Linked DNA regions of Oryzias latipes. The main gene of each other region encodes a partner of the protein of the gene in region 3 in a complex. Links are inferred from orthologs where the notes say so. Each region holds a gene or a part of one and is shown on either strand. Other genes may lie near its edges. The genes, in order: cdc40, ctnnbl1, bcas2 and rbm22.

Region 1 (8,037 bases), on a different chromosome or scaffold from region 3:
ACAACACGGACAACCTTTAATAATATACTGCACATCACACAGGTGTTTAAAAAGGACTCACATCCCGAAATTTGCATGCAATACACATTTAAGAAAAAAAATCTATGAATGGGATCCATAAGAAATGCCACATATGACATAATACAATGCAGAGATCTTCAAACTGTCGTGTAAAGCTGTGTAAAAACATTGTTCCTCGGCCATTGGTGTTGCACCAAGGTTTCAAATTTCACAAACCATAATTTTCACCACAATCTACCATCCCCCGCCCCCCCACGACAGTGTACAAACCGAGCTGCCTGGACTGGAACAGTCCCCAGCCCCCAAGTCAGTGCGCTCTAGGAGGGGGGGGGGGGGGGGGGGTCATTACCACACTGTACTAAACTGAAACTCTGATATCCCTTTCCCCGTGAACACACCACAGATGGGGGGAATAAAGGATCATTTATGGGGCTTTGCAAATATTTGCTTCCCCCCCCCCCCCCCCCCCCTCGAATGATATCCTCAGACTCTGCAGCAGGAGCCCTTGCAGATGTGGAGTTATCCCATCAAAAAAGTGCCCTTTTACTGGTAAATACGCATGATCACGCGTGTACTTTTTAAGAATAATCCACATCTGACCACTCTGCATTACAGTCACCTGTGTGCTGAGTTGACGTGAGTCAGTGATGGCCAGGCAGTGTTGAATTACCGTTATTGCCAAGAAGACAGCCCCGGTTTACGCTCTACAACATGGTGACTGACTCTGCTTCTAACTTGCTGGAATTAAATACATTTTAAGTCCGTTTGTCAGTTAAAAAAAAGAAAGAAAAAAAATGAAGTCACAATAAAGCCACGATGCTACCTCAAAATGATCCTTAAAATCCCGCTGATTTTCTTCCCATCTTCACCAAGAAGCAAAGCGTGCCGCCGTGTCCAAGAATTTAAATCCCCGTGTTACATCCATGGTTGTGCCGTCTCTCATATCCAATGCTCTCCTGCTGGAAGAGGCGGCGGCGAAGAAGGATCCAGCTGCATTTTTTAAGGGATTTTCCGGCTGGAATTCGGCGCAACTACAGGGAAATCGTGCTAATCTAAAACAGCGTCAGGTTTTATAACATCAAAACATTACCTTAATTTAAAAACTTTTAGTTTTTGTTGTTTATTCGAGGTTACGACCGTGATGTGGCATTCATTGAGGAGAAAACGCCCCCGTTTCGGTCTTGTAATGGTATGAGCCACTCCATTGTTGAGGAGTGAGAAACCGTCTGTAACTGGGAGTGCGCCAGAAAAGTTGTTAAAAACAGAAACCTAAAAAATAAAATATAGATTTTAAAAATAGTTATAATGTTGTGCATATTTGAAATAAATTCTTAGAATGTGTTTTGTTCATAAAAGTATAAATTAAAAACTATATGCTTAATAAAACAAATGGGGACTATTTAGTTACATTCCACTTAGCAGTGATTACACAGAATATACATTATCCACATTTCTTTAGAATTGGTTGAAAACATTATTATAATATATTCTTATCATATGCCAATGTTTTCTGACTTTATGTTGTATTTTCTTCACTTTTTTAGGGAAATTGTTGCATAACTCTGTGTTACAGACTCATACATGCCAAAAAAAAGTAGTAGTTGCAAACTGTGTTATAATACAACAGATAGGCAATATTGCTCAAGTATAAATGTGTCATTCTTAATTATGCAAATTACACATTTCAATGGATTCATGGCGTGCTTTTATTTTTGCAGGCTTGCTGCTGACTGCAGTGTTTTGTAGGCGCTGTAAGAACCAGAACCCTTGGATCTATTCTGATCCTATTTAACTTGTACAGAAGAGGCTTGGGACCATGGACAGACAGAGAGAGAGAAAAAGGGCAAAGAAAATCTCGACTTTAATCTCAGAATTTTGACTTTTTTCTCAGAATCCTGACTTTTTTTCTTCTCAGAATTCTGACTTTAATCTCAGAAAGATTAACTACGGACGCCTGTGAGCTATTTCCTACAGTTACCTTTAGCAACACTTGAGTCATAAACGCTGGAGTGTAACTAATGCCCTGTTTCAGTTTCTTGTTGAAGGCCTAAAGTTTAGTTTAAAAAAAAAAGCAATTGTCATTTGTTAAGTTAATGGTTCTTTTGAGGAGAAAAAAAACTCCTAAAACACACACAAAAAAGAAGAACAAAATAGTCAATGAAATTGATCAGAACACATGGCTAAAAATTGTGTTTAGTGCATTGGGGAAAAAAAGCTTAAAGTTGCAATGAGAAAGGAAAACAGTACATTTTGTTAGTTTTTCATGATCTCACTGTTGTGGAAAAAATACATTTTGGTCAGCTGTAAGACCCATTGCTTAATATTTTTTAATTAAAAAAATAGCATGTCTATAAACATGTTTATGTGCTACGTCACATTATGCATGTTATAAATAGATAAATAAATAAAATATATTAGTCTTACAAGCATGGTACCCGCATTATAATTGGTAAACACTCATAACTTTAAAATTGTCCTAATTTTTGATATAACGAGTTTTTACATTTTTTTAAATGAAAGTTGAATAATTTTGTAACCGGTAGTCCCGCCCTCGGATTTCCGGTAAATTCACAACATTCAAAATGTCTGCCGCCATATCTTCCCTCGCTTCGTACGGTAGCGATTCTGACTCAGAAAACGAGTCAGAATCAAATACTAGTACAGAACAAGCTGACCCGATGGACTCGGATGCAATGGTTCACCTTAAACCGTTGCAATCTGGTAGCATAATGTCTTTGGCAGTTCTCAATTCTGCCCCGGAGGTGGCTGTTAAGGTAAGCTAAGGCATCTAAGCTAACTCACGTTAGCATAAAATGTAAAGTTTGATGACTGCTCCTCGACGACAGTTTTTTACATGTTGATAAATGTTGGGTAAAAGTCGCGAAATCTATAGTCAGGGTTTTAAATGTGTATAAGAATTCATACAAGTCAACTTATGAACACAAATCAAGTATAGACCACAAATATGAGCTAAGGCAGCAATTACACAAGTGTACATGATGATACATTAAAGATGTATTTACTGGCCTCTTACTAATGCTTTTTATTAAGTAATAATTTATTGGTTAAAGTTTTTGATATTTGCGTCTCAAGCGTACGTAAATTGAAGTTAATCTTACTTTATTGCTTTTAACGTTGAAATCTCCCTATGTTTTCATATAGCTATTAGTGTCTTAATTGAAAATAATAGGTTAATAGTATGTAGAGATGTCTTTATTTTTAACTGACAGTGTTCTCCAAGTTAGTTACAAACTAATACATAACTGATATTTTTAAATGTTTCAGAACTGTATGTAATGACCTGACATCTGTACTACTCAATAGTTTTTTTTAAACACTTGTGAAAATGGAGTGTAATGTAAGATGACAATATTTGGCAAAGTATTTCACATGTCCCTTGATAATTTTGTTAGTAATGACTGATAATCATTTGTTTGCGTTGATGGTAGGAGTCTGTTGAGACTGGTACACACCTGGATCCCACTTTGAAAGAAGTCAGTTATAACCCGACATATGAAACTCTGTTTGCTCCTGAGGTAAGTTTGTAGTCATTCCACAAAGGCAAATTCAGAATAATGTTACCAACGAATGTTTCTTTATTTAATCAGTCAAATTCTAACAAATGTGACTTGTATTGGGGAGAAAAAAAAGGAAAACTTCTCAATTCAGTCAGTATGCAGCAGAAAAAATCACCAGCTTTACAATTTACGATTTGATGCTCAGTCATTGTTTTCCTACCGATAGTTTTGTCATTTGTCATTACTGTTATCATAACATATATTTATAATAATCAAGCCCAGTTTTTGACAATAAAACCAAGCTTCCTGGTTTCACTGAGGTGATTTATTATGGATGCAGCCTATTATATATATATATATATTTTTAAATTCTATGAGATTGAATTCTAAAAACCTTGATTTAAAGGCTTCTTTTTCGACACTACTTCCCTCACTTATTTGAAAAATCCTGGAAAAAGAATTAATTTCCACATAATTACATATTCAACACTAGATTATTATTGAAAAATATGTGGTTATGTTACTTTTGGGGAAAAGATAAATTCACAATTTTCTATCCCAGTTGAATTTTCTTTTGTTTTTCATATTCCTCTAGGTATATGTGTTTTCTAACAGATTAAAAATAGAAACAAATTTGTCAGAATCGATAAAGATGAAAAGACATTTTAAAGTTGTGAGAGTGTTTGACTAAGACGTTTTTTTTTTTATCTTAAAGGTTTATAGTTAAAAGTTAATAACAACAGGATTATGCAGTATTTCTGACAAAAATGATGGTAAATACTTGTTAAATAAATAAATACATTCCAGTCAAAATAGTAAAGGCTGGATTTACTAAATTAAATAGTAGTTTTACTTTATGGAACTACAGATGGGCTCTTCTCCTGCTTCACACAAACCAAAATTTCATTAATAAAAATGTATGTTGTTTATGTAATCAAAACATACAACTATTGGCTATTTTTATTTCTTTTGGATGAAAAAAATCTGGGTATGTTAGATGTCATGATTTGTTTTTTTATTTCCAACCATCTACAGATGAATTTTCAAAGCGGAAAAACTTTTACGTGAATACAGAGTGACACATGAATTAACAAAGGACTGTGGGTCAAACACAACTGTGTTAATTAGTCTTGTTTGTTCCTAGTTTGGACCAAAGAACCCTTTTCAGACGCAGCAGATGTCCGCCCCCAGGAACATGTTATCTGGATATGCAGAACCAGCTCACGTCAACGACTTTATGTTTGAACAACAAAGAAGGACGTTCTCTACTTATGGTAGGGTTGACTTTAGGGTGGATGAATTCTTTCAAAGTTCACACTTTGAAGACCACAAACCCATATTTTATCTGTTGATAGGTTATGCTTTAGACCCTTCTGTTGACGCTCAGCAAATAACCACCACTAGCTACATCGGAGCGGTGGATGAGGCTGAGAAAAATAAAGGTATTTGTTGAAAGTTATTTCTCATTGCATCATTAAACCATAATCCTGTGAGCCCTGACCACCTGTTTACAGGTAGAGGAGACAGACGAGCTCATGGCTTAATGTCTGTCATAAAAATATTGGAAGATGTCATTGATTTGCTTCTTTGTGTTCACTGGAATTCCAGGACTGACCGTTTTTGAAAGCGGTCAGAAGAAGACAGAGAAAAGGAAGAAGGTTAAGGGGGGAGAGGCTGCAGATATTGATCATTTCCTTGGGCCGTGGGCCAAATATGAAGATGAGAAAAATGTGGCCAAACCAACAGAGGTGATGTTTTCTCTATTACAATGTACACTGTGACTCATATTTAACAAAAATTTAAGGACCGTTGAGAACAGCGAAGTCAGCCATTGATAAACAGATATAAGATGCTACAGATATTACAAGCTTTTATGTTTGTTTTTTTAAATTAATACTTGCCACATCGCACATACTTTGGGAGAGCTGTGTTTTAAAATTAAATGTACCCATTAGAAAATATTGATTCATTCATTAAATTCCCTTTTTTGCCATTTCTTGTAGTTTTAAGGCTAACAGTGGGTTTATAAGTTCTTTTAAGTAAATATTTAATTTTTTTAACTTTTGTTCAAATTAAATAATTAATTTATGGGGAAAAATCCTTAAAATAAAAAATAAAAATGAGTATTAGGTTGGATCCGATAAAGAACAGTTTAGCGAAAAAAGTTAGATGGTGTTTAACTGATCTGATATTTTACTGTCAAAGCAAGAATATATTTATAGTTCTTTGGCGCTTAAAAAAGAATCCGCAAAAAAATTCATTTAAAAAAGTGTTTATGGAATTTTTCTGTATGGTAGAGACATACCTTGAATCCAATGTTACCTAATGTCTTACTCTATGAAGCCACAACCCTCTTTAAAGTATTCTTTACACAAAAACACATGTTTGAGATGAGCTGCCACCTGTTGGCCTGTTCAGTCTTTGGATTGTTTGAAGGTTATGGTGTCTTGAGATTTTTCTAATGATGTATTTTCTTGTGCAGGAAGAAAAGAAGGATCTGGAGGAATACCTAGCTAAGAGGCAGAAGAGAGGAAAGAGGGAGGAAGAGTCTCCGGCAGAAGAGAAGACCATTCTTCATGGTATTTGGTTTTTTGATAGGAGTCTATAATATTTGTTGATTATAATTACGTTTTTTATATTTTAATGTTTAGAGTAACAAAGTCTTTAGCGAATTCTAATTCAAGTGTATCACAAAAAGATGGAATAATGCTTTTCTACTATCATTTTTCAGTAAAAAATCTGCTACTATGAGAAATTTTTACATCTTCTTAAAATTATTAAATTTCATTTGAACTATGAATGTTAAGCAAAGCTCTATGCTATACTGGATTGAAAAGTATTCATGTTTCAAGATCATTTCAAACACTTTTCCCCCCATTTGTTCTTCTCACAGTCAAAGACATGTACGACTACCAGGGCAGGTCTTACCTCCACGTTCCGCAGGACGTCGGCGTCAACCTGCGTTCGCCTGATGCTCCAGACAAGTGTTACCTGCCGAAGAAACAGATTCATGTGTGGTCTGGACACACCAAGGCGAGTGGAGCGGCCGTTAATGATGCTCACGCTAAAATTTTTTTTACTCTGATATTTTAAACTTTTTTTAAATTGGTGGACTTTCTATAGCAAGCAACAGTCCTCAGAATCTGATTTGTCATACAAATAGGTTTTAGAAAACCGTCTTTCCTATAAATGCCGATGTCCAGAAAAATTCCTCAAAGCCTCTTATGTAGTGAAAGTAACAGAACTATTAAGGAAAACAACTTTTTCTGTAAAAGTTCTTCAACAGCAACACCCTATTCTGATCTGAATGTCAAATTAATATCTCTTTTGGGTGAGGACATCAAAAGTTGGTGTTCAGCTTATAAGTAGGCTTTTAGAGTAGAAAAGAAAATTAAAGTTAAAATAGTTTGACGCATTTAGAAATATTTCAATAGCAATAGAAAGATTTTGATAATATTAGGGACAATAAGATCATGTTTAGATTCAAACAATGTTAAATATTGTTTTTGTTTTTTTCTCCCAGGGTGTCAGCGCGATCCGGTTATTCCCCAACTCCGGTCATTTGCTGCTGTCCTGCTCTATGGACTGTAAGATCAAGGTACATAAATATGTTTGGCTTCAGTATATGCTTTTTATTGGTGTGATATTTATTAAAAACATATCATTCACTTTTAAATTCTGTCAAGAATCGTCAATTTTGTTAGCTTCCCATAAAAATCTGAACATTGTTTCGATACAACCAGCTTTAAACCCCCTTTTGTTGTAAATGTGTGTCTAATTTGTCACATTTTTCCACAGTTGTGGGAGGTTTACGGTGAGAGGAGGTGTCTCAGGACATTTATTGGTAAGTGTTATTGGATTTATTTTTGGTGTCTCTTTCTGTTCTAAATTTTCTGAATAAGCTGTTCATGTTTTGGAGTCCAATTAACCCCTTTCTCCACCAGATCCCCAAAATAAAGCAATGTTTGTAGCATGAAACATTTTATGATGAGATCTTTTCTCATTCAGAAATGATGCAATCTAGTGGGGGTATATTATTTTATCATCTTCATTCTCCTTTTGTTCGTTTCTGGATGTTCCAGAAACATTTTTAGAGAGTGAAAGTTGTGATTATACAGCCTGTTTTTTAGGTGTCTGCTTGCAAAAATATACCAAGAATTATTATTGATCATTTAAAATAGTTTGATGTGAAATACCTTGTTGGATGAATGTTTTTGGCTCTTAGCTTAAACTGAGCCCAAACGACTGCCATGGAAACAAATAAGAGATATTTATATATTTATGTTGATAGTTTTGTCTCCATAAAGACACAAATTTCACAATAAAAAAGTGTAATTTGGTGTTTTAAGGTGTCAATTGTGAATAAATAAAATGATGAAAAAGGTACCTATTTATTATAACTAGTATTAATGGTTGACCACAGCGCCTGGAATCATTAAGTATTTTGTTATCTAACTGTAAGATAAGCATCAAAGAAAGCATCATCAGCAAAGATGTT
Region 2 (7,524 bases), about 980 kb from region 3:
AAACCGAGTTGAAATGATCCTGAGCCACAGAACGTTTTTAATAGGAGCCATGATTAAGTGCAATGAACTGACACTGATTCCAATAAAGGGGAAACAATGGAACTGGTCGGGAAACGTTCGGGATTCATTTCACATTTCTAGAGAATAGCGCGCCCAACTGTTCAAAACATAAGTGACATCTGAAGCGTGGTTTGACCAAACGAAGCATTTGGCGCGTCATCCACCACGTGATCTGCGCTAGTTGACACACGCCTCGAAACATTGTGCCGAACCACCTCATGAAGGTGAACCGTGCGCCAAAGCGCCGTGTAAAACGGGCCATCTCTAGTAACAACCATTGGTGCAATTGTGAGAAAATTTAAGAGGTATAACATGACCATCAATAGACCTCGGTCTGGTGCTCCACAGAGGATTTCACCGCGTGGGGTGGCTATGATCATGACAACAGTGAGAAATCAGCCTGCAACCACACAGCGGGAGTTAGTGAATGACCTCAAGGCAGCTGGGACCACAGCCACCATGAAAACAATTGGCAACACTAAAACCCTGCAGTGCCCCATAGGTACCCCTGCTTCAGATGCAACATGTGGAAGCTCGCCTGAAGAATGCCAATGATCACCTCAAAGATGCACACAGTGATTGGGAGAAGATTCTGTGGTCAAACCAGACCAAAATCAAACTATTTGGCCTAAACTCTATTCGTCATGTGCGAAGGAAGAAAAGTGCTGCCCATGATCCCAGGAACACGATGCCCACCGTCAAACATGGAGGTGTGAAACATCATGTTTCAGGCGATGCTACACCGCATCAGTGGGAAGACAGATGGAGCCATGTACAGTCCTGAGAGACAACCTTCAGAAAGCTGAAAATGGGCCATGGCTGGGTCTTTCAACAAGACAATGACCAACAACATACCAGCATCCAGCAAAGGCAACAAAGGAGTGGCTCAACAGGAACCATATTGAGGTCATGAGTGGCCCAGCCAGTAACCTAACCTCAATCCAATTGAAAATCTATGGAGAGGGCTGAAGATCTGAGTTGCCGAGCGGCAGCCCACCAAACGTAATGATAGAGAGGGTCTCCAAAGAAGGGTGGGGCCAAAATTCCCCCTGATATGTGTGCTAACCTTGTGGTTGACTGCAACTAACGTAGGAAATACAAATAAACTCTTTCAAGTTATTTTCTGGATTTTCGTTCTGATATTCTTCCTCTCCATGTTAGAATACATCTACCATTAAAAGTATAGATTTATTATGTCTTTATTAGTGGGCAAACCAGATCAAATCCTTTTTTTCTCACCGTGTCCATCCATCATCCACTGATCATCAATTTGTCCATCTATTCATTCATTTACTGGTTTATCTATTCTCATCCATTTTTTCATCCATCCACCATTTCTTCCATGTATTCATCCATTATCCATCCATCCCATCTTGTTTTTGAATCCGTCATCATTTTACTTTAATAAGGTGGCCAGAGTTATTAATTTCTAAAGCTCTGAATTTTTAACAACGATCCTATTTTTATCTGTGGTGCAGAAAGGAACAGGAGATTCTACTGCAGTGAATGTCCTAGATTTCTCGCAGATGTTTGTTTTCATGTTTGAATTTAAAATAATGAGCAGAACTTGTTAGCCAGCGCAGCAGTTTTCATGAAGATAATGTTCAGCATTGTTCTAATCTGAAACAAGTCGTACTCGTGGTACAGCGTACACACAAAAAGTCAAGATCCAGTCATGGATTTGGTCCAGATCCAATCAGATGACGATGAAATAAACAGGAAGAGAGAAAGTCAAAGTACACGCATCTAAAACCAGAACGAACATGTGTTGGAAAGAAAAATGGAGCCTCCAGAGAAAAGGCACACATATGACTGTCAAACGTCAACAACAGCTGATCTGAATGACATAATCTTTAGTCAAATTACATTATGCAAGAATAGATAAAAGTAAGAGAGGGGAAACCGTTACAGTGTTGGTCAGAAAGAAAGAAATATATATAGATATAGAATTTGACATAAAGAAAATTACCTCCGCATAATTGTAGGCATTTCTAAAAAAGACTGTTGTTCTCACCTAGAGTGTTGTAGATGCCATCAGACTCCTCCTTCACCTGCTCATCCAGTCGCTCCATATTCTGCACCAGCAGAGCCACCACCTGACCCTCCAACTGCAAAGACAGAGTCAGAATGCTGGCTTTCAGAAATTGGTTCAAATGGTTGAGGTCATCTCATAATGTGATCACAGTTTGGAAGTTCCGATAGAGAATGCCATCAGGAACAATTTTTTAGAATTCAGTTTCTCTCTTTTCTTCATCAAACATCATATTTTTGCTGAAAGTCTCCCAAAATTATTTCATTTGGTGGCAAATCTGATTCAAAAACTTGAAAATCTAAAGGGAGCAGCGATGACGGATCACTCCAAAGTCTGAAACTTTGAGAGGAGATCTAACAGGAACCGAGCATCACTAGTCCAGACACAAACCCAACGTAGAAGTGGGCTTCTCCGCTGAGGACCTGCAGGAAAGCGCTACGACAGATGAAAGGAGATGAACACTCAGTCGTGTGAATCGTTCTGATTTATCTTATCAGGGACAGCACCTGGCCTTCTGGCAGCAAGGACAGAAGAGCAGCAGACGTTTGGGCGCAAGGTAAAGACAGATGAAGCCGGCCGCCCTGAAACACTTTCTCCATGTGAGGAATGATGGTTTCTGTGGCCGTTCAACTCCAAAACAAATGACCTTCACTTATTTTATTTCAGTGTACCAAACATATGTTGTGGCGGCTGTGACAGAAGGGTGGAGCGGTTGTCCTCTAATTGGAAGTTGGCGGGTTAGACTCTGCACGCCCACATGTTTAAAAAAAAAAAAAAAAAGAGTAAGATATTGAACGTCTGCTGCCCCTGGTGGCCCAAATAGTGCAGAGGTGCTACCATTGGTGTACTGAATGAGGCTGTATTTAACCATTAAAGAGGTTAGATCAGTGTTTTTCAACCAGTGTGTCGTGGGAAATTGCCCTCATTCACTTAGGATTGTGCCGATGGACGATATCATCGTCCATCGTGATGGGTGACTGACATCCCGATGGAGAGACCACCATCGTGATGCCACGCCCCCGCCACGTTGCGCGTCGACACCATAAGCCGCGGTTACATGTACAAAATATCTTGATGGGATCAATGGTCAGATTAGAATCCAACCGTGTACATGGGCCCAGAAAAATGTTTTCAGAATATAAAAACGTTCACTAAGGTCACACTTTCCGTCGGAATAAATCATTCGCACATGCGCAGTAGGGTTTGAAAAACGGAAGGATATAAATTCCGCCGAGCGCCTTTTTTTTTTTTAAACTTTATTGAATGTAACAATTCAATACAAAACATTGTTAAACAGCGCCGAGCGGCTATATACATTGACATGTCAGCTCGGTAAAATACGAGATGATCTTCTAAACGTGCTTTTAATAATGTTACGGTTATTATCAAACACCTGTTCGCTCATCATTTGAATTTTAATCCGTGTGGTCAGTGCTTTTTCTGAACGAAGCCAGGATTAGCAGTATGCTAACACGGGCTAACAACATTAGCTTTGGGTGGTGCTGCTTGCTGGCTGCACGTAAACGTGTAAGAATAAAATCAGCCTTTATTTAGTCGGGACACGACTGGAAACACAAATCCGCGTGATTGTTTGAATGTTTTCTAAGGACTGAGCGACATTTCTGCTTTGAAGCTCAAACCGCTGTGTGTGCAGACGGTCCGAGCTGTGCACAGACACACACTTTTAGACCCGGTTCTGAGTTCGGATGCTTGTACCCCTAGAGCTGCGGGACGGATCGCAGTCTTAAATCTCCCACACATACCGCTCATGTACCCCCCTTCCCATCAAACACAAAGCTGTAAGTCCGCGCTCCCCCGGAAGTGCGGGAGCGGACTACTTCTTTTCTATTTTGTTTGTTAATTTTTTTGTTTAAGTCACTTCCCTCAGTTTATACTGGATCATCGCGGATTAGTCATTAGTTGGGAAATAAAATGAAAAAAGCAAAAAAACGAACAGCAGTTATATAAGAACGAAAAATGTAAAAATACCCCCCCCCCCCCCCCGACGATGTCATCGTCCATCCCGATGGTTGACAGCAAACATCGTCAACGGCCAATTTAAGGGACATCGCCCAACCCTACATTCACTGATCTAAAAACATTTTCCATCTCCAGGATATCAGCTCTGTGTTCATCCAAACAGGCCCTGATAAAACACTGAGTAGTTAGGAATATGAAAGATTATAAAAGACTTTTTTCTTTGTGTTTATTTGATTCTATTAAAGACATTTTGATAAGAATGACGGCACCGCGATTTAGCCGCAGCTTCAGCTGTTTTCTGAAAAGTCCCGCCCCTTCAACTGTCTCCACCAATCATTCTTGGAGTCTTAATCACATGTCATCAGTCTGACCAATCAGAAGTGGTTAAAGTCTTCACTTCCTTGTTCCATTACTGCTCTCAGTTCCAACAAAAACACCAGCTAAAGCTCGTCTTTAGCGCTGTAGCTTTCCGCAGGATCCGGTATCAGACCGTGGAACAAGTGAACAAAACAATGAAGCTCAGAGATGCTGCTCTGTCTGCCACTACATCTCCCATGATGCATTGGGTTAAAGTGACAGCGTCTCAGCGTACAATGAGTTTTTCCTCTTAAACGTCTTAAAACAACAACGAACAGACATCAAACAGTTTTTAAATCTTCTAACTTAACTTTTTTTACATCTTTTAGAAAAAACAGCTGCAGTTTCCAGCTTTTTCTGCCACAATTATCATAAAAATGCACGTGAGATTGCAGAGGGACTGTAGATCAATACAGTCTATGAGTTTCTCCTTCTTTTTTTTTGGATGCTGGTGTGCCGCGGGATTTTTGACAAGGTTAAAGTGTGCCGTGGCTCAAAAAAGGTGGAAAAACACTGATCTAGAGAAATGACAGCACAAGTAATGAATAGGATTTAAATGTTAAGCTTCCTGTATATTTGCAGTTAGTTCGTCATAAATGAGCAAGTGAGTGAGAGAAGGAAGAAAAGAATGAAGGAAGAATGGATGAATGGAAGGACGTAAGTAAAGAATTAAGGAAGGAAGGAAAAAAGAAAAAAGGATGGAAGAAAGAAAAAAGAAAGGAGGGAAGGAAGGAAGGATTAAATTATGAAAAAATGAGAGATTAAGTGAAACAATAAAACACAAATGAATGAATGAATGAATAAATGAATGGGCAAAGCTCTCCTTTTTGCCACTAAGACACTTTTTTTCTATCTTATTATAGTTTGATCTTCTAAAACCTGAAAATCTGCAGACAGAAATCCGCCTCACAAGACGTCTAAGAAGCAAACGGAGACTCCTCAAAAACTCCAAATGTCAGCAAGGCGAAAGTGAAATCCTGCTACTGATTCATTAAAAATAAGACCAAGTAATCAATTCTCCTCGGCCTGAGTTGGATGCAAAAGCCGAGTAACTTAAATATTGATTGAGCCAGCGTTGCTGCATCAATACCAGCACAGACTGAGAGAAACTTTAAACTCACCAGAGCATCTATGAGCACTTCAGCGCCCTCCTCGCTCTCATGGAGTGTGTCGATGTCTGTCAGCTCCTGCAGCAGGTCCACCACCGCGATGGCGACATGTGCTTTGGGTTGAGGACAATAAAACTGACCGACAACAGCCCCGCCCCAAACAGACAACTAAATCATATCAATAATAACACATGTGGGTGAGCCCAAAAGTCTTAGTTTGGTTGCTTTCATGTTATCTTAAAGATAGATATTATTAACTGCTACAACAGGTTTTCTAGAGTTTTTCTAATCAGAGCTAACAAATCCAAAATCGCTGATGCATTATGTTTTATATAGAGCTCCAGCCCCCAGATAAACCAGTTTGCAGGTCAAAATCCATGTGAAGGATATCTGTGTTTTCATGGCTTAGAAGGCCCAACAGGGAGTGGACGGCATTGAGCTCCACCAGCAGGTGGTAGAGATCCGGCATGGTGGCGATCACGTGCATTTCCTGGATGATGTCGTTGAGATCCAGCTCCGACTCCATGAACCTGGTTCGGAAACAAAGTTAATAGTTTTCCAAAAAAAGAACATTTAAACAAAATCTTTGATGTAAAAAATAATAAAGGAAAAGCATGTTTACTTCTCAGGATTGTCAGGAAACTTGATCCTCAGTTCCTGGTTTTTGTATGACCTTTTCTCAAAGGTCAGGATCATTTTCTTCACTGTGCTTTCATCCACCGGCTCGGCCTGTTTGATCCGTGGAACATCAGAGGACATGGCAGTGGTGAAGAAAATAGAGGAGGAAAAAGGGGGCAAAAGCTTTTTAGGTCGAAGCAGCTGCTGCCGGAGCAAAGAGCCATCACTGCGACATTAAACGTGTGAGTGGAGTCATTTTTTTGCATCAATTAGGGTACATTTTACAGAAAAAGGGGATGCGTTTGACCTCCTGAAGGCTTAAAAGCTGTAAAGTGCTAGACGGATAATGACCGGTTAGGACATTTCAACTGCCTGACATTATGGAGAAGAGGAGCCATTAGCTCTGAGAGGCCCTTGACAGAGTAAATTTTTGAAAATGCCTGCAGTGTGGGGATAATATGAACTGAATTATCAATGTGCAGTCTTCAAATGCACTGCAATATGGTAACACTGGTTCTAGTGTTACTCCTTTGGAAATTCTGACGCAGCTGCATTTTCCACCGTGGCCTAACTTAAGAGCTTCGCCTTCTGGCTTTTAATGCCACAAAAAAAAAAAAAAAAAACAGGTACGTTTACCAACATTTACTCATCACCGTGGTCTCTCTTCATTTTTATCTGTTATCAATACCAAAAGGATGGTTACATTCGCACACATGCGTTTTTGTTTTTGATAATTGTTTTCACCTCGCACCTTGAAAAATGGACACAATGAACATTTAAATAAGGAGAAAGAACCTTCTAACACTTATTAGTTCTTCTCAGTCACTTCCTTCCCTCATTTTGTCCAATTCTTACCATGTGGTTGTTAGCAGAAGTTGAGTAGTCGTGGCAACGACACAACTATTCATCTATGCTTAGACAGTAGTGCAAAAGAACCAAAAGCATTAAGCTCCTCCAAATGTATGCCGTATTGCAAATGTTCATCACTTCTGCATCATTCCTGCACTCTCTAAAGAGGCAGCTCTGCATAACTCGCTTTAAATTACAAACAAAACAGCATTTTTCCACCTAAAGAGGAATCAAATGGTCTCTGTGATAAAAAAAGGAAGAAGTCTGAACTACAGACACAGCCTTTTGGAAGAAAGAAAAAAAACGACCAGTAAATAAAAACAGCTTTCCCACCTCGGGTTCTTCTTCATCCTGGTCCATCAGTTTTTCCAGTATCCTCTTCTTGTCCCCGGTCTGCTCTTCGCCGTCCCCCGGTTCAGCACGACCCTCTGATCCCGCTCCAGCTTCCCGATGTCTGGCCGGGTCCCGGGATCCCAGTCCCTTCTGCTGCTTCCCTCCTCTGGAATCATCGTCTCCTCC
Region 3 (7,581 bases):
TTGATTCTATGTTTCACTTTTTTAATTACCGACACGAAGCCCATCGAGACGACTGTTGTGAATTTGGGCTATAGAAATAAAATTGAATTGAATTGAGCCACACAACACATTAACTCACAACACAACACAGTAACTTACATCACAACACATTAACTTACCATACAACACATAAACCCACAACAGGGGCGCAACTACCTAATTTCATAGGAGTATGCGGCCATGTAACCCCCCCCCCCCCCCACACACACACACACACAGACATAAATGTACATAAAAATAATGTCCCATCCACCCCACATAAAGCTATCTCAACATCCACATAACATATCTCATTACTTCTTATCTGATTGAATATGACCCAGCAGAGCCTTTTTGTGAGCCATTTTCAACTCAGGAGATGGCGGCGTTGGCCTCAGGTGATTCTCTGTTCTTTGTCCACCACTACAATGTCTGGTTGGCTCCCCATTACCATCCTATCAGTCTGGATCTGGAAGTCCCACAGGATCTTTGCCCTCTCATTCTCTACCACCTTCGGAGGTGTTTCCCATTTTGACCTTGGGGTTTCCAGTCCATATTCTGCACACATGTTCCTGTATATTATTCCAGCCACTTGATTGTGGCGCTCCATGTATGCTTTACCTGCCAGCATCTTACACCCTGCAGTTATGTGCTGGATTGTTTCAGGCGCCTCTTTGCACAGCCTACACCTTGGGTCTTGTCTGGTGTGGTAGATCTACACCGTGGGTCTTGTCTGGTGTGGTAGATCTACACCTTGGGTCTTGTCTGGTGTGGGAGATCTACACCTTGGGTCTTGTCTGGTGTGGTAGATCTACACCGTGGGTCTTGTCTGGTGTGGTAGATCTACACCTTGGGTCTTGTCTGGTGTGGTAGATCTACACCTTGGGTCTTGTCTGGTGTGGTAGATCTACACCTTGGGTCTTGTCTGGTGTGGTAGATCTACACCTTGGGTCTTGTCTGGTGTGGTAGATCTACACCTTGGGTCTTGTCTGGTGTGGTAGATCTGAGCCTCTATGGCTCTGGTGCTCAGGGCTTGTTCCTGAGCTGCCAGGATGAGTGCTTCAGTGCTGTCCTGTAGGCCAGCCCTTTCTAGCCATTGGTAGGACTTCTTGATATCAGCCACTTCAGTTATGGTCCGGTGGTACATCCCATGCAGGGGTTTGTCCTCCCATGAGGATCTGTCCTCCAGCACTGTATCCTCTGTTCTCCATTGCCTGAGACATTCACTGAGGACACTGTCAGTTGGGGCCTTGAGCTTGATGTGTATATATATATATATATATATATACACTAATTAATTTCAGGATAAAAGCACCTCCATTGCAGCTTTACTTCCATTGTGAGTTAATGTTTTGTGAGTTTTTGGGTTGTGAGTTAATGTGTTGTGTGGTAAGTTAATGTGTTGTGAGTTAATGTGTTGTGACCTTTCTGTGCCACTGACCAACAACAAAGATGAAGACTCATCCAGGAAGTCATGGAAGACGCTGAGACTTTTGAAAATGGATCAGCACAAAATGCTGCAGATTTCTGAGATCAAAGTTCAGTGGATGTACAGAAGACAGGGGATCTGACACAAAACCGCCTCACTCTAGGCCTCAGACTTTAGGTTTCACTGTTCTTCAAGAGGGATGAATGACAAACCATCCAGCTGCTCCCATCTGTTAGCTTCCAGCTCATCAGCTGCAGCTCTGAAGCTCAGAGACTTACAGGTAAAAGACTGAAAAAAATAACAATGTGTATGAAACGTTCATTTTATTAAAACGATAAAAAACAAAAGTTGAATCAAAAACAGGATTTTTTTTCTCCACCACAACTTAGAAACTGTACAACAAGCTACAAAGACATCGATCATGTCGATCGATCATGAGTTTCAAACCATGATTTGTGTGTAACTGAACACAAAAGACCCAACGGTTCCATCAGAGGAAACCGACGCCTTTCAAACATCATCCGTCTTGGAGTCGAGTGACCCGCTACGCTCCAGCAGTCATCGAGTCGTCCAAACCAACCGAATCAGATCCATCCAACGGATCCCGGTGAGGTGACTCCTAAAAGTCCTGTCGGATGTTCTCCTTGTTCTCCTCCCCTTGCTGCTGCCTCAGCTGAGCCACCTCGTTCTCCAGCTGGACGATGGCGCGCTCGATCTCATAGTTTTTACTGACCAGCGACACCCAGCTGGCGGGAATCAGAACCAGAGTCAGACATCACCCCTCATCCACGAGAACACCAGAACTTAAGAAGAACCTACTTGGACTCCAGCTCTCGCAGCTTGGCGCCTGCAGCCAACTGATCGTTTTTGCGCTGCCAGTTCAGGTCCTGGATCTTCTTCCTGCCGGCATAAGTTCAGAAATGTGTAACCATGGTAACCGTTGGATCTTTTCAGGCATGTATGATCCAATCCTCAATCACCTGAACTTGTGGAGTTCCTTTTGAGCCAGCTCAATCAGGAAGGCCAGATTGCTGAAAAGGGACAACATTAGCTTTGAGTCTTCAGAAGAGTCAGACACCAAAGGGTGAGACCCACAGGCCGCCACTCACTCGTTGTAGACCTTCCACGCGTTTGTTCCATAATGCGACATGAGCTCCAGGTTCTCGATCCGGATGGCCTGGTGCTCCAGCTGGGCCATGGAGTTATTGACACACTCCTGCCAGGCGGTAATGTCGTTCTTCTGTCCCGATGTGGGGGCTGGAAGCTCATACCTCCACAGCAGAATAGAATCGTTCTATGGAATCACCCTAAACTTTCTCTTTCTTTTACATTTACAGAAATATTGTACAGACAGACAGAGTGTGTTTTTTACCTCTTCATGCTGAGGAGGTCCATTGGTTGTCGAGCGGCTAATCGCTCAAACTCATTCCTCATGATTTCTGTCTGAAACCCAAAACAAAACGGGAAAGGATTATAAACCGGTTAGCCAACCCAGACTAGGAATCAAGTTTCAAATGTCTGCAGGTTTTCACCTCAAACGGCGAGAACTCCGGCATGGGCAGGTAGCTCAGGTAGTTCTTAGTTGGGCGATACCTTCTGGTCTCTTCTTCCACCAACGCAGCGGCCTGAAGGGCCAAGTACAAATGATTTCTCTCCATTTTTCATACAAACATGATTTAAAAATGAGCCACAACCCCTGATGATCTAACATGTCAACTTAGTGTCACCAAACCCTGGTTCTCCAGATCTGCCGGCTGTTTCAAACCCCTCAGCTGTTGTTTTACCCGATGAGGTAAACAGCAGCTTTGGCTTTGAAGGTTTTCATCCTAAATTATGAACTTGTATAGTTTCAAAGCAGAAACCTATAATGACAAGATCTAAAGAAATATACAGGCGATCATAATAATAATGGTTTGGCCAACTATACATTGAACGGCGCGTTACCATGCGGCATCGCTAGCTAACAGTTCTAACTAGCTATAAGTTAGCTAGCTTTTAAAGCAGCATTCTTGTTTACCCACCGCTTCTCTGACACCTGGTGCGTCATAACCTTGATCAAAATACGGCAACGCATCAACAAACACTTCGCCAGCGACCGAGGCCGTTCCAGCCATGTTCGCTCCCCAGTAAAAAAAAATAAAAATAAAGAAAGAAAGTCCTTTTCTGCTAACAGACTCCAAACGGCTAATCAGAAACTTCCGTTTCCGGTCAAAACTTTCCGAAATAAAAGTCTCAACGGTGTTGTATTAATCGTGATTGTCGCCTCTTGCGTTGAGGAATGGAACTGCAGCTTAGTAGATAGATAGACAACTTTATTTATCCATTTGGGAGGTTCCCGCATGGAAATTGACATCTCCATCGCATACAGCACTGGTTGACATACATATAGGAAAAAGGAAAAAGCAGCACAGTGACTAGAAAAATGAGGAAGATTAGAACAGTAAAAAACAATTTAAATATCTGCAAACAGTATATACAAAAAAAAAAAAGTGATTCAGGCCCTTTCCCTTTCCTTTCTGTCCCCCTCCCCCCTCCTAAGTGGTTTGATGGCCCGGGGGTGGTAAAGAGTTTGATGGCCCGGGGGACAAAGGAGTTCCTCAGTCTATTAGTCCCGCACCTTGGGAGGAGCAGCCTCTTGCTGAAGGTGCTTCTCTGGCTACCGATAGTCATGTGCAGAGGGTGGCTGGTATTGTCCAGGATACCTGTCAGTTTTTTCAGTGTCCTTCTCTCTGCCACAGTAGCCAGACGGTCCAGCCTTGTGCCAACCACAGAACCAGCCCGCCTGATCAGCTTCTCCAGCCTGGAGAAGTCTGTCTTTGAGGTGCTCCCCCCCCAGCACACCACAGCGTAGGTTATTACACTGGCGACCACAGACTGATAGAAGATCCCCAGGAGCTTCTTGCAGATGTGTAGTGTAACAAACTTCAGGTTTCAGCTATTACTGCACTACAGTAAACCTTTAAAGAGTTTCATATTAAATTTCAACAAATAAATGCTTTTTTTATCTTTCTTTTGTTGTTGTTCTAAAAAAATATATAAATAGCTTTTTCTTCTGATACAAATGTGATCAATCTTGTAAAAATACTTCATCATCACTTCAATATTTTTTTTTAAATAATGTATATAAAATTATAAGTTTACGTTGAAGGCATTTCATCTTAACAATACAGAAATAATAACCAAGAGTAAATAGCCAAGAAAGGGGAAGTACTGGTATGTGTATGCATTATAGTATGTAGGGCCGCACAATATGAGGAAAACTCGCTATATGCGATATTAGTGATCAATATTGCGATGAAGATATAACTTGCAAAAAATGAACAAATAGCAAAAACAACAAAAACATTTCCATTTCCCTTCAAATGTTTAGTATAAATAAGAGTCAAAATACCTTAAATTTATCTTCCAAATGACCCTCGTCTAATTAGTAGGGCAACATCTAACGTAAGAGCTCCATCCGATTGGTCAACAACGTAAAGGGCTATATCTGATTGGTCAAATGCATAAAGGGATTTAGTTAATTCATTAAATAGCTAAAGTTACCATAAGATTGTTTTAGCACATTTAAGGTTTACCATTTATTGTGATTTTCGCTGACTTTTGCGATATGGATATTGCACAGCTTGAAATCGCGATAACGATAAATTTGCGATTAATTGTGCAGGCCTAATAGTATGTTTTTTTGCGTGTGTACACGTTGCAAAACCAAATTAATCCTAACATCTGGGAAAACAGGATCAGTTTCTGGCCAAGCTCCTCCACAGAATAACAGAAAAAAATAAATGTGCAGATTTGATTCAAAAAGTGATTTTTTTATTTTAATTGAATTAATGTATAAAAAGAAAACATGTTTTTTGGATGATTTAATTTCCCTCTTAATTGAATTTAGACGAAAATGATCTAATTAAGTTGTCTAGATTTCACATGTTTTGTTTCTTATACACTGCTTTCCGTGGCTAAAAGGAAAACTTGATTAGAGTTTGTCACAGATTTAATAACGACTGGAAGAGGCTGCAGATCCCCCAGTGACCTTTATGGAAAAATGTCTTTCTAATGTTTACTAGTAAAACTTGTTACTTTTTTTCATTCTAAGTCAACAGCACAAAGACCCTATGATGCTGAAATGTGGAATAAAAATCTCACACTATGCTTTTTAGTCAGTACTGCTTTCTTATAATGTCTTTGTTGTCTTTCTTGAGCTTTAAAGCAAAAAAGCAGGTAGAACAGTCGACTGCTGGTTGGAAGATTGCAGGTTCAGTTCGCACTCTGTGCAACAATGTGTTGAATTGTTGAAATGTGGAGCTGCCGTTGTGTGTGTGTGTGTGTGTATGTGTTGAGTGAATGGGACAGTGACTGTTAAGCATTTTGGGCCTTACAAGAAGGTACTAAAGCTCTATACAGGTAAATGCCATTTACCATTTGTGGGAGACTTGTGGGAGAATCACATCAAACTTCTTTCTATCCCTCCTCCTGTTATCCCATCCCTCCATTTTCTTTTGCTCATCCAGCTGGGTCGGGCAATCTTTACAATTCCCAAATTTTAAAGAAATAAAATCATATTCTGGTGTTTGTTAAACCACAGAAGAAGAACACAGTTTATATTAATGTTTTTTCAGGATGGACTTACGCTTGACTTACAGTTGTCCCAGCTCCGCCTCCTCCAACCCAATACCGGATCGTGTTTACTCCATCAAAGCAACCCCCCCACCACCTCCACCTCTGGAAAGGATGGACCGACCACCCCACACATCCAAATGCAGGAAAACCCCTTATTTGAGTCTTTTATAGGGGAAACCATCAAGCAAGTCAGCAGCCAAAGACCAGAATCACTGTCAACATCTACTTTGTGTTAATAAAGATTTATAATATTTGAAGAGAGTCAGTCATTTGGTTTTATAGACAGATGCTTCATGAAAACTTTTTTTTAAAATCAGTTTATAATGTTTATTTTTTCCAGATAAACAATTCTGCATACAGGATATTTCAATATAATAACAGATTTTGTAAAATAAATCTTTATTGACAAAGCAGATTTGACCTACAGTTGTGTTGAAGATGCTGCAGGTGGTCAGATCAGCTGTTCCTGTCAACAGGTGAGATGAAGAGGATCAGCATCAAAAACGACTGAAAAGTCCCTCACAGACATGTCGGAGGAATTCATGGATGTAAAGCTGACCGAATTTGAATATTTGATGTTATTAGATATTAAGATTTGGATTTGGAAATGGTTTATTTCGAGCAATCAAAGCAAAAATAATACAAAACAAGACAAACAATGGAACTATACATAGATATCTCTACATAGATGGATCAAACACAGGACGATTACTCATAAAACTGATTGCAAAATATGCATACGTTCCACATATACCAGTAAATACTTCAGTCATTACTATTAATCATAAATAAAAATATTGGCTCTTTTGCTTGTGTCTCATGACACAATAATAATATTAAATGTTAAGATTGAGAAAAATTGGTTAGGGTTAGATTATTTTATTTGTATAAAGATTATATATATATATATATATATATATATATATATATATATATATATATATATATATATATATATATATATATATATATATATATATATATATATATATATATATATACATTAAACGCCCTTCTCACCCTCCGCGGGTGGTTTCTCCTCCAAGTTCGGGTCCTCTACCAGAGGCCTGGGTCCTGCGCAGTATCTTAGCTGTTCCTAACACTGCGCTTTTCTGGACTGATAGGTCTGAGGTCTTTCCAGGTATCTGTTGTAGCCACTCCTCCAGCTTGGGGGTTACTGCCCCGAGTGCTCCAATTACCACAGGCACCACTGTCACCTTCACTTTCCAGGCTTTCTCCAGTTCTCCAGTCCCTGGTGTTTCTCCAGTTTGTGATGTTCCCATTGCATGGCCCTGCCACATCCACCACAACGGCTTTCCTCTGTTCTTTATTCACCACTACAATGTCTGGTTGGTTCGCCATCACCATCCTATCAGTCTGGATCTGGAAGTCCCACAGGATCTTTGCCCTCTCATTCTCTACCACCTTCGGAGGTGTTTCCCATTTTGACCTTGGGGTTTCCAGTCCATATTCTGCACACATGTTCCTGTATATTATTCCAGCCACTTGATTGTGGC
Region 4 (8,003 bases), on a different chromosome or scaffold from region 3:
ACAAACCTTCCACTGTTTATATTACTGAACATCTGCAGCTCTTAGTAGAGACAGACCTTTGCTCTACCAACAAAGGAGCAGCAAAACTGGCCTCGCGCGTACAGGAAGACACTGCTCCAATCTCGCAACAAACAGCCAATTAAAACCGCCGAATCCCATCGTCCTACTTTTCCCTCAAAAGAAGTTTGGAGAATCCCGCGTCGTGGGATGCTCTCCCACCCAGGAGGGCTGCCCGTGTTTGAGGCGGTTCAGAAAAAAAATACGCCTGACTGTTAAAACCTTCGTAAATAATAAGCCAGTAAGGGATTACTGCAGGTCATAATAATCCGACGCGTCGTATCACAACACGGAGCCTGTTACCACAGCTGAGAGCCAAATCCCACTCAATCGTTTATAAAAGATTGTGTTGGGAGCCATTGCATTCCACTTCTAGTCTTTTGTCCGCCTCTTGTCATGTGTGGACTTGCAGAATGAAGTGAAAGACGAATCATCCTTTCATTTGGATTTGCACACACTCGTTGGCTTCTTTTTTTTTTTTAAATTAGACGCGCCGGGGGGGAAAGCAAGGATTATTTTATTGTTACCCCTGAGTTGTTTTGAGTCACTTACTTGAAACGAGCATATCCACGGCGTTAAACGCACCGCAGCGGCTACAAAGTTATCAAAACAAGTTGCTCGGTGGCCGCTGGTGCATTCACGGGATTCGATCGCGGTACTCCGCCGTGAAAATCTCGGTGCAAACCGGCTGCAGCTCTAGCTTCTGCCGGGCACTAAACTTCGAGCAGTGAACGCATCCTTTCATTTTTCGCGTCAGAGCCAGGCTAAATATGAACGCTGCCTCTGGGGCTTTTTGTTTTATCTTCAGTCGAGGGGAGTCAGGCATTGGCCTCAGCCTCGCGCGAGCCAGACAGCGAACACGAGCCCGGCCTGGGAGAGCGCGCGGCGGGGCTCCGCGGTACCAAACACAGGCGAAAAGCAGCGCCAGCACACTTGTTTTTGTGTCGACGTACTCACCTCGTTTTAGCAGATTTCGGACGCTCTCGAGCCGGCTGGAAGGAAAGCGGCGCTGGATTTCGAAGAGTGAACAGAAAAGGGTCTCGGCTCGCTGTTGTCCTTAATGTGGAAGCGGCACGGCCGACTCGGCTGGGAGAAAGCTGGAAATGTGAGGAAGCCCCTCTCCTTCTGCAGCGTTGTGCACCCAGCAGTGGCCCATAACTGTCAACAGGTGGCGCCAAAGCGACACTTTTTTTTCTTATGCGCATGCATGCATGTTGAAGTCCTCAATATTTCTTGGGCTTATCTGCATCCCTGCTCCACGGTGCTGGGATTAAAGGGACCTTGATCTTCTGTTCGCTAATACTCTTGAACCAATTTTCTTGTGAAGTGATGCTCAAATTATCTTAACAGATTTCTTTCAAAAATGTCATTGAAAAGTAGCTGTTTGATTTGCTTTTAACAATTTTTTTTGGGGGGGGGGGGGTATCGTGATTTATTTATAGATAAGAAATTACTTTACAGGCATACATTATGGCAAATGAAGCGTCACAAAATATGCCTCTGGTTACAGATGATCTTATAACAGAATATACAGTTCTTTTCGGGGGGTTTTAATCAAAAATATAAAGAAAGCTTGGAGTATAAAACTAATACAGACAAATTCAGAAACAGCCCCACTGTAGAGTTGAGGCATTAGCAACAAAGAACAGCAAAGACACCTACAAATCCACTGGCCTTGTGACTCATGAGGTTGGTCATTTTGATCTCTAATTAGCTAAATTTGAGACAAAGCTTTCCTTCAAAGCAGTTTGGCCATCTCAGTCTTTTCACATGATAGAAAGGACGGGGTCACATGACTCATTAAGATATGGAAGGTGATGCCCTGAGGGGGAGTTTCCTGTGGTGATCTTTTCAGGGATGTTCTTGACGGACTCTGCTGGCCAAGCAGAGAAAGAAAACAAAAGGTTAAAGCGGATGGAAATTTCCATTCAGCGCCTTACTGTGGAAGCACAAGCACATGGTATGCCCCTGATTTACAACCAAAAGTCCATGAACCTCTAAAAGCACATCCCAAAACGGAGGGTCAATATAGTTGTTTTTAACTTACATGTGGCCTGAAAGAGCTCTGCAGACCAGTTAAGTGGGCCTGCATCTAATCTCTGCTCTGTGAATCCACAATCTGACCTGTGAAGTTAAATAAACATTCAGGATTTAAAACCCACTCGTAATCTTCAGCATCCTTCGCCTCACTAATTGGAATTTCACACAACAAAGACACCATGGCCTGAATTGGACCAGGTAAACGGGTAAACTCTAACTGGACAATTGGCTTTCACAAGCTCCCATACACCTGCCAATCAGCCAGCCTGTCACTTCTTCCGTCTCTGGAAATGACACAAACTCAGGCGGCGCAAACTGTTGGGACTCACAGTTTTTCATAAACCTAAAACACTTTACATCACCTTTTTGCATTTATCATAGATTTATGATCAAATGAAAAATAAATAAATTAAAAAATATATTAGATTATTTAGCAATACATTAAATTAATCATGTGTTTATGAGGAAAACTACATGTGTTTAAACTTCTGATAAAACATACCATTTTTGTTGCATAGCTCCTCTACAGAAGTTAGATTTTTTTCCTTCAGACGGAGCAGGTCATGGACATGGATTAGGTCTAATCCGGAGTCCGTAATCAGGTTAACAAGTAACTAAAAAAAAAAAAACTATTAACCTTTAGTTCCAGAATAGAAATAAGTTCATGGTCTTTAAAAGCAATAGCATTAAATATTGTTCCTGAAATAATAAAAGCTTTTTTAGGATAACAACAACTGTTTTAACAAAGCATTCATTATGCTTTGCTGAAACATTTTCTACTTTTAGATAGATAGATAGATAGATAGATAGATAGATAGATAGATAGATAGATAGATAGATAGATAGATAGATAGATAGATAGATAGATAGATAGATAGATAGATAGATAGATAGATAGATAGATAGATAGATAGATAGATAGATAGATAGATAGATAGATAGATAGATAGATAGATAGATAGATAGATAGATAGATAAGTTAAGGTTAAGTTAATTAGTACTTACAACTGATTACTAAACTTTACTCACACAAATGTTAAGAGCGCAAGAATATTTTCGAAACAGAATGAACAAAATTTTGTGACGCTTGTAAAAACTTGTTATCCTATTTAAACAAAACTGTTGTTTTTTCGGGTGACATCAGATAGTTGAAAGTAAAGATCTTAAATTGTCAACACTGGCACACCATATTACTGTCAACACGTCAAACCAGTCCAACTCGATCCATTCCATTGAGGGTTTGATCACTAACAGTTTCTGGTGAAAGAGCGACACCCACAGGCAAGTCTAGGACCTGCAGCGCGGTGCATTGTGAGTTGTCGTTGTCGGCCCGGTTCTCCTCTCATTCAGCAAAATGGCGACTTCTCTTGGATCCAACACCTACAACCGACAAAACTGGGAAGACGCGGTATGTTGAATTGCTTTTATAGTTTAAGTCTAAATGTGTAAAGAGACCACACATCAATTTTATCACATTTCAAGAATACTATTACCCAAAAGCCTCTTTGATGTGTAACAAGGTAGCTTCCCGCTAAGTAGCATAGGCTAATGCTAATGCGGGAAGCATGGTAGCTAGCTACTGTTCTTCGTATCGTTACAGTAATTGTAAGTCTTTAAATCCCTTAATGGGTCAGGCAAACACAGATTGTGGATCGTTGGCAGCTAGTATCATCCATTTCCAAAAGTCCAAACAGATTTATCAACCTAAACGAGGCTCGGCATGTATGCTAATTTACGTTAGCTTTAGCTGCCTTACGATGCTGAAGTCATGTTGGTTGAAATGTCATATTTGTAAGACCGACTCAGCATAATGTCAGTCAAAAACAATTATTTTAGAAAAGTTTAAAGAATAAAGTATGTAGAATAATCAGAGTTTTAAACAATAGACCTGTTTGTTGATCTCAAACCATGATGTTGCAACCTCGTCATCACGAATATTAAGAATTCATGTATTTTTTTTCGCAATTGCTGTTACAGGTTTCCTGTTTGATTCCGTAACAGTACTTCTTCTCTTGTTTGAGAATAAAATATGAGCTAAAAGATGTCTAAGTAATTGATTCATACCTGACTGGCATTTTTAACGCAGTTAATGCGACACTTAACCAATCCGATGTAAACTGGGCAACTTAATTTAAGTTCCCACTGTGGTCCTAATGTAAATCAAGCAAATGTACAATTGTACCTTTAAATCTTAACACGACTATAAAAGATAAAAAGTGTTTGTGTCTTCCCTTAAAGCATAACACAACCAGACATTTGATTAGTTTTAGTTGAAGCTACAGTCTAAAAACTTTGTAACCCGAATATGTAAGTGATGTTTGAGCCCAATGATCTGCCCATGTTTGGGGTTTTTGGCTGATGCGGTCAGAAGGATGGAAACAGCATCCTTAACCAGATGGAAAAGTGGGTGATGCTGAAAGCTTTACTACCCTCACATGTACATTTGTCAAGCAGAGGCTGAAATGTAACGGTATCCCTTCAGCTTGAATACTAGTAAATGATTAGCTGAGAATTGTTGAATCCACGTTTTCTTGTCTGTTTCAGGATTTTCCGATTTTGTGTCAGACATGCTTGGGGGAGAATCCTTACATCCGTATGGTGAGTAAGTTTCCAGCTGAATTATTTGTAGGTCTTGTTTATGAATTCACATTAATCATATTAGTTGTTTTTTTTTTATATACAGACCAAAGAAAAATATGGAAAAGAATGCAAGGTATGGCTTTCTGTTAATTTTCCTTAGCCTTCAGAAGAATACACAGCTTAAACTTGAAATATTTTATCTTTAAACTGGATTTAAAGTTTTTCTTCTTTCCATTAGATCTGTTCTCGACCCTTCACTGTATTCAGATGGTGCCCGGGGACTCGAATGCGTTTCAAGAAGACAGAAGTCTGCCAGACTTGCAGTAAAATGAAAAATGTTTGTCAGACATGTCTGCTTGATCTAGAGTATGGTGAGTCTCGGGATCTTTCTACTTAAATTTGGATTTGTGTACCCCTTGTGCAGGTCTTATTTGTCAGTGTAACACTTTCTCTTGATGTGTTTTGATTGACAGGTCTGCCTATCCAGGTCCGTGACACAGGCCTCACAGTTAAAGATGAGATTCCTCGCTCGGACGTGAATAAAGAGTATTACACACAGAATATGGAAAGAGAGGTAGATTTCCTTTATGTAATGACTTTTCTCTTCAGTAGCATTGCTTGTTATGACGTATATTATTTTAGGTTGCAGTCATTTCCTTTACTTCCAAATTGTTTTCATATTGAAAAATGCAACACAACTTCCAAAGGTTTCCCAGTTCCTTTGCAGCTCTCAGGAGTCTGTAAATATCACTGCACCGAGAACAGCTTGGAGCATTTTGATCAGAACTGCACATTTATTGTCATTAACGACTCGTCGCATTCACAGATGGCTAATTCCGACGGCACACGGCCTGTAGGCCAACTCGGCAAGGCTACGAGCTCAAGTGATATGTTGCTCAAGCTGGCCAGGACCACGCCATATTACAAGAGGAACCGGCCGCACATCTGCTCCTTTTGGGTGAAGGGAGAGTGTAAGAGAGGCGAAGAATGTCCCTACAGGTGAGGACTAATAGCATCTGTAACCAAAAGACAAAGGTGCTGCTGTTTGGTAGATCTGAAACTGTAATCCATAGTTTTATTTGGTTTAAAAGATAAAAAATATATACCAGCATGTTGTGTGTCTTTGGGTTTTATTCCTGTGTTTGCTGCATTTCAGGCACGAAAAGCCCACCGATCCCGATGATCCTCTGGCTGACCAAAACATCAAGGACCGTTACTATGGCATCAATGACCCGGTCGCTGACAAGCTGCTAAAGCGAGCCTCAACCATGCCCCGACTAGACCCACCAGAGGATAAGTCCATCACCACTCTCTACATAGGCGGTTTGGGAGACAATGTCACGGATGGAGATCTCAAGTAAGGTTTTTTTTTTTTTTTTTTCTGTCTTTGTCACAACAAGAAGTGACAATTTTGATGCCTTTATACTGTGCTTGAATTTCTATGTGTACTCTTGCAGGGGTCACTTCTACCAGTTTGGTGAAATCCGAACCATCACTGTAGTCCAAAGGCAGCAGTGCGCCTTCATCCAGTTTGCCACGCGCCAGGCAGCTGAAATGGCCGCAGAAAAGTCCTTCAACAAACTCATCCTTAACGGACGGAGGCTCACTGTCAAGTGGGGGAGGTACGATGACTCTTGGTTACTGAGGAGGCCGTGCTGTCATTTGCTTGTTAAACGCCAGATGTTCTTAAAAGAGCAAGAGCCTTTCAAACTGCCTTGAGGTGAAGCCACCATCGATGTTACAAGTGTTGGGAAACGGCTGAGTGTGGCGTTTAAAAAGTGGTTATTAGAAACACAGCAGGAGCTTAATTGTAGCACACAGGTTCTTCCCATCTGGGAGATATTCTGTCACCTTTTTTTTTGTCTTTCAAGTCAATCAAAATTCAAACCTGTTTGTCTTTTAGGTCTCAAGCAGCGAGAGGAAAAGATGGTGTCAAAGATGATGAGCTTGGCATCAGACTGGATCCTGTACCTGGACTTCCTGGAGGTAAGTCTTCTCTCACAGGGGGGGTCAGTATTTTATGTGTGCGCACATGCAGTTCAAGTCAGGGGTGTTGGCGCCCCTTTAGGAGGTCAAATCATTTTCCCATAAACATAACCACTTGCTAAAAAAACGATGTCTCTAAGAGCCACTTATTTGGATTTGTAAGATGCTGAGATCCACACGTTACATTTTAGTTTGGGATCTGAGGGTTTTTATGAGAAACTAAACGGTCATCTTACATTTTACTACACTGTTTTTTAAAATAAAGCACATTTGGTTATTTTTTGTTTTCATCAAACAGCAGTTTTCTAAGCGTGTTCCTTCTTCGACACACTTTGATGAAAATGGTGTTTTTAACATTTATCATGTTCATTATTTGGATGATGGAGGACATATTTGAAGAAAATTAAACTCAAAACTGCATTTCTGAGTATTGTTTGTATTCAAATTCGTTGATGATCAGTAGCAGATGAAAAAATGCTGTTGGGGTAAAAATATGTATCTGCGGGGTAGAAAATCCGCTGGGCGGGCAAAAGGCTTCCTGCTCCGAGTCTCAGCCACAAGAATTCAGAATCTGGATTAAGATGCAGCAAGAACATCTTTTTACCGCCTTTAATTCTTCTCTTTGCCAGCGCTGCCTCCACCTCCAGCTTTAGATGAAGAGGGTCATGCCAACTATTTTAACCTGGATCCCAGCTCCGCTCCTGCTGTCATGAACATAGGTTTGCCTCCACCTCCAGGTATCAACCCACCTCCTCCAGGTAAAAACATGGCTTAGACTTACTTCTAAGTGATGCAGAAAGAAAAATGGAAATGGATACTAAAAACCTTCTTTTGCCCACGCAGCTTTTGGTCCTCCAATGTACCACCCTATGGGTCCCATGGCTCCACCTGTGCCCCCTGCTATAACGATGAGACCTCCGGGTGCAATCCACTACCCCTCCCAGGATCCTCAGCGCATGGGTGCTCACGGCGCTCACGGCTCCCGTCACATCACCGAGTGAAGTCCTGCAGTAAACGTTTGTCTCGGTTTCCTCACCATGAACCTGGTCAAGTGTTTTCATGTGACAGCCCCAAACCTGAAGACTTCACATGGATCAGTCCTTCCTTCTGTACACAGCCCCACATGACATCCAATGAATTCATTACCTCAGTATGTCTCAAGAGGAAAAAAGTGGAATAGTACTCCATCACTGTGTAGCTTCTTGCAGTTCTAAATGAACACAAAAGACTTCCAACATGAGTGCTGGCCATGATTACTGTTGTAAAGTTCTTAGGGGTGGACCTGTTCTTGTCTTATTTTGCATAGTGTCACATAGAGCTCGATATGGAGGATTAATTCT

What was found.
Region 1: bcas2 (region 3) and cdc40 share a complex: the UniProt entries of both Homo sapiens proteins name them as parts of the postcatalytic spliceosome P complex. The link is inferred for Oryzias latipes from reciprocal best matches to the Homo sapiens genes BCAS2 and CDC40.
Region 2: bcas2 (region 3) and ctnnbl1 share a complex: the UniProt entries of both Homo sapiens proteins name them as parts of the PRP19-CDC5L splicing complex. The link is inferred for Oryzias latipes from reciprocal best matches to the Homo sapiens genes BCAS2 and CTNNBL1.
Region 4: bcas2 (region 3) and rbm22 share a complex: the UniProt entries of both Homo sapiens proteins name them as parts of the postcatalytic spliceosome P complex. The link is inferred for Oryzias latipes from reciprocal best matches to the Homo sapiens genes BCAS2 and RBM22.

The regions. Positions count from the first base shown.
Region 1 is NC_019882.2:8,076,296-8,084,332, forward strand, and holds the start of cdc40 (pre-mRNA-processing factor 17), read left to right. Parts: upstream 1-2,603; coding exon 2,604-2,795; intron 2,796-3,470; coding exon 3,471-3,557; intron 3,558-4,683; coding exon 4,684-4,813; intron 4,814-4,894; coding exon 4,895-4,981; intron 4,982-5,147; coding exon 5,148-5,287; intron 5,288-6,021; coding exon 6,022-6,118; intron 6,119-6,432; coding exon 6,433-6,572; intron 6,573-7,062; coding exon 7,063-7,137; intron 7,138-7,337; coding exon 7,338-7,383; intron 7,384-8,037. UniProt on the Homo sapiens protein: Required for pre-mRNA splicing as component of the activated spliceosome. Plays an important role in embryonic brain development; this function does not require proline isomerization.
Region 2 is NC_019865.2:1,919,750-1,927,273, forward strand, and holds part of ctnnbl1 (beta-catenin-like protein 1), read right to left. Parts: coding exon 7,339-7,524; intron 6,268-7,338; coding exon 6,161-6,267; intron 6,069-6,160; coding exon 5,929-6,068; intron 5,649-5,928; coding exon 5,551-5,648; intron 2,169-5,550; coding exon 2,075-2,168; intron 1-2,074. UniProt on the Homo sapiens protein: Component of the PRP19-CDC5L complex that forms an integral part of the spliceosome and is required for activating pre-mRNA splicing.
Region 3 is NC_019865.2:941,685-949,265, forward strand, and holds bcas2 (pre-mRNA-splicing factor SPF27), read right to left. Parts: upstream 3,666-7,581; 5' UTR 3,562-3,665; coding exon 3,469-3,561; intron 3,073-3,468; coding exon 2,980-3,072; intron 2,891-2,979; coding exon 2,820-2,890; intron 2,719-2,819; coding exon 2,557-2,718; intron 2,479-2,556; coding exon 2,428-2,478; intron 2,348-2,427; coding exon 2,267-2,347; intron 2,194-2,266; coding exon 2,067-2,193; 3' UTR 1,754-2,066; downstream 1-1,753. UniProt on the Homo sapiens protein: Required for pre-mRNA splicing as component of the activated spliceosome. Component of the PRP19-CDC5L complex that forms an integral part of the spliceosome and is required for activating pre-mRNA splicing.
Region 4 is NC_019868.2:16,384,774-16,392,776, forward strand, and holds the start of rbm22 (pre-mRNA-splicing factor RBM22), read left to right. Parts: upstream 1-3,375; 5' UTR 3,376-3,451; coding exon 3,452-3,505; intron 3,506-4,641; coding exon 4,642-4,695; intron 4,696-4,780; coding exon 4,781-4,810; intron 4,811-4,915; coding exon 4,916-5,048; intron 5,049-5,150; coding exon 5,151-5,251; intron 5,252-5,503; coding exon 5,504-5,676; intron 5,677-5,833; coding exon 5,834-6,034; intron 6,035-6,134; coding exon 6,135-6,299; intron 6,300-6,580; coding exon 6,581-6,663; intron 6,664-7,292; coding exon 7,293-7,421; intron 7,422-7,506; coding exon 7,507-7,664; 3' UTR 7,665-8,003. UniProt on the Homo sapiens protein: Required for pre-mRNA splicing as component of the activated spliceosome. Involved in the first step of pre-mRNA splicing.